Drosophila melanogaster: one gene and its partner. The protein of the gene in region 2 interacts with the protein of the main gene of each other region in a pairwise test. Each region holds a gene or a part of one and is shown on either strand. Other genes may lie near its edges. The genes, in order: hale and Cpr72Ea.

Region 1 (3,772 bases), 3.6 Mb from region 2:
ACTGGTTGCACAAGGATTGGCACGAGCAACAGGGATAAAATCCTCCAGAAATCGGAATATTCGGCTGCTGCTGCAGCGCACAAGTGGAGGTTCCGAGAACTGGGTGCATCATGTGCTGGCTGATCTGACCACCTAATCCCATAGAAGGATGTGATTCCATGCTCGACAAAGGACAGCAGGATGTACCACCGTTGTAGCAGCCGTTTGCAAAACTCTCCGGCTTCAACATGCAGCAGTTGCTTCCGTTGGCTGGACATTGATACTGATTGCCCATCTGCATTGGGCAGACTTGACTCGTCCTCGACGGACAGCAATTGCTGCACGTGCAGCAGGAGCAGCTGGACATGCTGCTCGGCGTGGCGCACAGGAACTGCTGGCCAGGATACATGACAGGACAACCCGATGTTGCCGTCCCCGGCTGATTCATGTGCATAAAACTGATGGTCACATATGGCGAGTTGTTGGTCGGTTGAACTCGCACGTTCGGGTGTTGCTGCAGCGTCAAATGCTGCTGCATATGTTGCTGCTGCTGCTGCAGCACATTCTGCTGCATGTTCTGATGTTGCAGCAAGGACATTTGCTGTTGATGCTGCTCATTCAGCGACGGTTGTCGCTGTTGTTGCTGTTGCTCCCGATTTAATTTTAAAAGTTTTTGTCGGACCTGGGCTGCAGTTTGAAGGGATAACTTCCGAGCGGCTTGTACAGTGTTACCTGGGGAATAAAGAGGGAGGAAGGAACATAAATATAGAAGCAATCTAAAATGAATAATATAACCTTTCTGGTTGCTATTGCTGGTGGTTGGATACTGCGGAAAGGCTTTGTCCGTCTGGGATCCTGCATTAGAAATGGCGTAGGAACGCGAGGTCTGCTGCGTCTGACACTTGCCGGTTTGGTCTTCCTTCGACTGTTCTATGTCCTGTTGAATCCGATTCCTAGCCAAAGCATCCTCGAGAACCACGAACGAAGGTCTATTCGCCAGATCCTTGTTGCAGATCTTAACGAAAGGCGGCAAAGTTTCGGTTTTCTTGATCTCCTCTATGGACTTGTCATTCTTGCTCTTCTCCAGCTTTTCAGTTGAGTCATCATCGATGTCATTTGAATTCCCTTTGAGCACAGCTATGCACTCTTTCTTGGTTTCCTTAGTGCCATTCGTCAGTGGGGAGTTACTACTGTCTGCTCCGCTTTGGGGATTCTTGCATTCCTGATTAAGTGAGCTAATTTCGATGAGACCATCAGTGCCCACGGTAATCATGAAACAGCATTTGGCCACCGTTTCGTCATTTGATTTGGCCAATTGCCCTGATGATTCATTCTCGCCTGGGGCCTCCATTTTCCTGAATTTTGATGTGTTTTCCGGGTGTTGTGAGTTGATGTTTCCTAACGCATATCAAAAAGTATATCAGGCGACAAATGTACTGTCAACTTTGAAATGCTCATCGAAACTGGATTTCCCTTACTGTGTAAGTAGTGACCAAAACGTTCTTGGTGTTTAAGATTTTAGAACCATATTAATATTAATAAGATAAAATTATTTAAAAACTTGAAACAGTATTTATTTCTTAAAATAATTCAAATTATATACTAGAGAAGCAAGTCTGGTATCAATCAGTATGTCTCAGCTTTATGATGTCAAACATTTCTACACCTTTTGTGCTTTAACATGTACACAAAATTGTCATATCCGTGAGTTGGCCTCTCCGGGTGGTGAAGAGTTGAAGATGTTCTGCACGGAGAGCTGTGAGCACGGATGCAATGCAACCTCGTCGGGCAAGCTGATCGCCAATGGAAACGGTGGCGGCCTGCAGTCGCAGGGAAATTCACAGCATCAGTTCACCATGTCCTACGCTCCACTGTCGACCAACGATGTGCCCTCCAAGTCCGAGGTGGAACCACCGCGACTGGGCATGTGCCTGGTCACCGAGTGTCCAGAGGGTCTGAGGTAATTTATACATGAATTTCCATGAAAAGTGATTCGATTTCTACTCCCTTCCTCTCCAGCATTGACTGCAATGTGCCACTGCCGAATTCTTTCAATTTGGATGAATACAAAAATCACATGATCTGCTCGAGCTGTACCCAGTTCAATGGTGGCTTGGACAGATTTGGCCAGCCAGGTACAGCCGGTCCAAGTGCCAGTCCTAGTGCCAATCCATATCCAACTCCGATGCCCAATCCCATCCAGGCCTCTCCTTGCAGCTTTCATGGCCAGTGTTGTTCAGCCGGTGGACCATGCGCTGGATATGATTCGCAGCCAAATCCATCAAGATGCTATCGACAGGAATCATCGTTGGCTCAAGGAGCCCCAGCGATGCCGCAGATCTTTTGCCTGGCACCACCCAGTTCCCATGGTGGCTTAAATCAGCCCGTTTACTTGTGCAGCCTGATTCCAGTTCCGCCATCGTGGAACCTGGTGCCGCTGGCCCAACCGCAGCACTTGACGCATCAGCAGCTGCTGACGAATCCCGCACAGGACTCGCAGCTGCCGTTGCAGCAATTGGTGCAGTACGACCTGTCCTTCAATCGCCTGCTGGCCGAATTGCGCAAGGAACGGGAGAGGTCCTGTTGTGACCTGCAGATCCCCCAGCCTCTGGCTTTCCAGCTGTATGCGCCCACGGTTAGGTTTCTAGATCAGCCAGATTCCAGTTCGGCGAAGAGAGAGCCTCATTGCCCGCCGGCAGCTCCTTGTGCTCCTCCAGCTGCACCACCACAACCACCATCCTCGTCATCATCCCCAACAGCCACATCTGCCTCCGCCGCCGGGCTGCCAAGAGCTCGTTCGGCCAGCCCGAAGCGCAGTCGTTCGTGTCTCCGGAACAAGGATCTCTGGGACAGTGGCGGATCCGTACCAGGTCCATCCCCCTGCTCCTCGCCCACCCAACATGCGACCGGAAATGTGTGCATGAAGTGCGGAAACTGCTGGCATTGTCCGCGCTGCAACTGCTCCAACTGCTTCTGGCATCCCGGCTTGGTGCGAGCTCCTCCAAGAGATGGTCGCTAGGGAAGGGGACTAAGAGCCACTCCTACACTGTAAAAGAAGAAAGTGTAATAAAATTCCAAGACTTTTAAGCAAGCAGCTTGCCACTATTTCTTAATTGAATTCAATAATAAGAATATTTATTCTTGCAATATGAAGAGAGAGTCACTTTTAAGGTTTTTTTTTCGTTTATTAGTTTGTAATATTTAAACCCTATTTATAAATATTTTATGATACATAAAAAATGAATTCTTTCACAATTTCTACAGCAGCTAGGACTTATATCACAAGTAATGTTCGTTAAACAATGAACTGTAATTAAAAGTAATTATCGATCAGCCTGCATGTTCATAAAGCTAGCCACGTAGTTGGACATGACCGAGTTTATTCCGAAATGGTCGTTTCTGGGCTCAAGGGGTTGGGATTGCAAATTCCGGTGGCCGGGCAAGATCAGCGAAGCTGGCGGCAAGGGAGTTCTTATTTGGCAAGGATACGGATCCGTTCCCAGCTCAGAAATCCTTGTGCGACAACGCCTCACTTTCCGGGCAGAGGGACTAACTTGGGTGCAGGTCCTGCTGCTGGATTGGCAATACGGAGGTGGCGGAAGGAGAAATCTTTGCTGCAGCTCAACTGCCGTGGTATGCGACTCGGGTGCTTGGTAGTTCTGCTGCTCATGGTAGGCTTGGATGCGTTGTTGATACGCCACTGATTCCTGGTAGGCAGTTGAGTATATGTAGGATGGATCGTACAGGAAGGCCTGTTGCTGCATTATATAAGTCTCCGTGTTCATATGGGCAT
Region 2 (3,599 bases):
TAATCAGGCTGCTGGCTGCTCTTCAGTGGCTCCGGATGTGCACTGAGAGAAAGTGGAGTTGAAAAATGAAGAAAAATTATGAAATGAAGAGAGGTTGTAATTTTTTAATTAATTAAAAAGCTAAGACTTTCGTTATTTTCGAGCTAGAAACAACGTTATTTAAATAATTAGTGTCGAATGATAACCAAGAGTTACCATGTTTTAACAGCACTTTTAAACTTTTATAAAAATGTGTCATACTTATTGGTCATTTGTTTCTCTCAGTGTGAGCTGCAAATCATCCGGATAGGGGTCAAGGAACCGGGTGGGGCTATAGGACACGCCGGCTACCAATTCCAGTTTTAGTTATTTAGGTTGTTGCCTTTGCCGTTGTTTATGCTGCTATTAAATTTAATTGAAATCAAAATTCGGCCCACATTTATGAAGAGTTTATGCTGCACATATGTGGAATGTGATCGGTGGGTCGGGGGGCCAAAAGGTTGAGGTAGGACAGGGTCCGAGTGAACGTGTTCCGTGAGTCCAGGAGTTGGGCAGCTAAAGGGTTCAGTTCAGCCGGATCTTGAACTTTAGGTGTCGCGAGTTTAGTTATGATTATATTCAAATAAAGATACAAATGTTAAAACTAGAAATTATAAAGAAATTTGTTGATTGAAGAATAATTTTAGAAAGAATACTTAGAAAGAATATATTTCGAACAAATATTGTGTTACCAAAATGAATTTGCTAAAAATTTCTTTATATTATCCCATTACCACTTCAAAAGAAACGTTGCAGACTGATTGACAATTTTTTAATTTAAATTCGAAATTCTTAAATAATGAACCAAATCGTGCGAATTCAGCTGCCATTCAATAGTAAAATCCGGGGGTGTAGTACCTGGGAATGGTGTAGCCGTAGACCGGAGCAGGAACCACGACATGGTGGCTGCGAGCCACAGCAACTGGAATCTTGGCCAGCACCTGGTTGCGCACGCCTTCATCGTGGACGCGTTGAAGATGAAGCGACTTGGCCGCAGCCACTTCTGCGGTATCAGAAACGGGATGAGGCAATTGGGAGTGGCCACCATGGGATCCGGATGGGTCTGAGCCAGAAACCGGGTGCTCGTGGTGTTCGATAGAATGGGGCACCTCTGGATGAGCACTTCGACCGCTCTCAACGACAGTGTGATGATGAGGAACCTCAACGGGATGGTTGCCAACAGGATGCTGAGCTACAGCAACGGGGTGCTCATGGTGCTCGACGGGATGATGTCCATCTGGATGAGCACTTCGGCCGGTTTCGACAACAGTGTGATGATGTGGAACTTCCACGGGATGATGGCCAACAGGATGCTGAGCTACAGCAACGCGGTGCTCGTGGTGCTCGACGGGATGATGTCCATCTGGATGAGCACTTCGTCCGCTTTCAACAACAGTGTGATGATGTGGAACTTCAATGGGATGGTGGCCAACAGGATGCTGAACTACAGCATGCGACACCTCCGCGTGATGCTCAACATGGTGGTCTACTGGATGCGACGCGCTCCTGGGACTAAATTCTAGCGACTCCTGGGGAACTTTAGCCTTTGGCAGATTAGTGGCTGCCACATGGAAACCTTTGTTGTCGGCCACATAGTTAACCGTTTGCAGCTTTCCCGCCGCATCCCGGTAACTATAGTATCCTTGGGTGATTCCGTCTAGGGTGCGGGTCTCCTGTTTGCTGGACAATGGTTCCGAATAGCCATAGGAGTACTGACCCAACTCATCCTTGGCGATATACTGGCGCTGGGTGGGCGTGAACACGGCGGATCCCTCGGCAGTGTACGCATAGGGATAGTACAAGGCCAGTCCGTGGGCCAAGCTGAGGCTTCCTAACAGCAGAAGTGGATACTTCATGGTTGGGCAGTGGAAGATTGCTTCGAGTGAGTCTTGTTCGTCAGTTCACTGGTAACTGTTGATTCTGAGCCTAGGTCTTCATCCTTTTATACCCAGCAGGTTCTTTCGCGAGTTCTAGGTTCTGGTTCTGGCTGAGGTTCCTGCCGGTCAGATGCTTCTATTCTGATACACTGCGAAAAAATTCTAAAAGTATGCCATATTATTATCTAAGAGAGTATACAAATGTTTTATGCTCTTTTACCCTAATATAGTAACGTGATTTTTATGACTTAAATTAAATCCAAAAATAAGTAGTTCGTAATTTGTTTAATAATGATTTGTACAAAGCTTAAAACATAAATTTAAATGCATATAAATAATAATATTGCTAAAAAAGACTGTTCTTAAATTCCTGAAATTTTAATTTTATGATTATGACAATCATTAAAAAAATATTTTATTATTGATAAAAAAGGTGGTTTATTGTACTTAAATAGAATTCATCAAATTTGTACAAGCACACGTATTTCATTAAAGAATAACCTAATAGTAATAATATCTGTCACATTTTAAAATAGTAAACAGCCAATTAATTTTTTCTCCAAATGTATCCATCAGATGCACTTCAATGCAAACGAGGAGATGCGAATGCGTCGTCGTGTCCACTTGTGTCGTTAACGGACATTGCAGCTCCGCCTTTCACTCCCCTTTTGGGGATCGACGCCTCGTGAAGGCGTTGTCAATTTGGTTTAATTGTGGCCAAGGCTGGAGTGGGCCCAAATGAGGGAGGCAGACCCTGGTTCTCCGCAGCGGGAGGAGCAATCGCTGCCTGGCATCTCCATCTGCATCTGCATCTGGATCTGCAAGCGAGCCAAGGGCCTTGGCTGGGTGGACCATCAAGGCCAAAGACCGCATCCAGACCAGCGTGTAATTGATATGCAATCGTTGTTGCTGCCACAGCATTGTGGCATCTCAGCCTCCTTTTTGTTCGCACACTGCAACGGGGCCACGACAACAACAGCAACTTCAACTGCAACAGCAAATGCAACAACTGTGGCAACAACCGACGACGACAACAACGGCATCTCAAGGTGAGTGAAGGCCAAGGGCCACATTTGGCCACAGCTTGGACACGGGAGTCATGCACTCCAGTGGCGAACAAAATGGGGGTCTTAGGGGGGTCATAAGTACCCTTAAAAATTATAATACTTGGTTAGATACATATGTATGTACATAAGAAATATATGTTTTATGCGAAGAGCTTACAAATATGACACAGAAAAGGGTTAATTAAATCGTTAAGTCCGCTAAATAAATAATATAATGTGAATTTTTAGACACCTTATAGTATACACTGAAGATATATACTTATTTCAACCGGACACTAAGAAAACCCCCTAAGAATATGTTTCCCATCCGCCTCTGATGCACTGCAGCTGCATTGGTATCTCCTGTTCCTCCTTCGCTGGTCATTTTTATTTTTAGCAGCGGGCTTATCGGATGCCTCAGATCTCTGGTGCTTAAACTTCGCTCCCGATTAGGAGGAGGAGGAGGAGCAACTGCAAGAACCACATTGGATTGGCCTTGACGGCTCGGCTGATAAGTGCGTTTTAATGTTAGCCCCGTTGGCACTCAGTTTCAATCAAAGCCCAATTCTCTACAACCATTCCAGCCTGGCTTAATGAGCTGGTTAGTTCTGGCCTGGAATTGAAGTTGGATTGGCAATATAGTCCGGTCCACTTGGTT

Evidence for each region.
Region 1: the proteins of Cpr72Ea (region 2) and hale interact in a two-hybrid assay, tested with the Drosophila melanogaster proteins (2 studies listed by BioGRID).

The regions. Positions count from the first base shown.
Region 1 is NT_037436.4:19,983,722-19,987,493, reverse strand, and holds hale (hale-bopp), read left to right. Parts: upstream 1-1,625; 5' UTR 1,626-1,718; coding exon 1,719-1,939; intron 1,940-1,998; coding exon 1,999-2,998; 3' UTR 2,999-3,068; downstream 3,069-3,772. Other genes in the region: schuy (schumacher-levy), read right to left, coding at 1-711, 775-1,330; CG17732 (uncharacterized protein), read right to left, coding at 3,303-3,772.
Region 2 is NT_037436.4:16,360,925-16,364,523, reverse strand, and holds Cpr72Ea (cuticular protein 72Ea), read right to left. Parts: upstream 1,922-3,599; 5' UTR 1,875-1,921; coding exon 849-1,874; 3' UTR 774-848; downstream 1-773.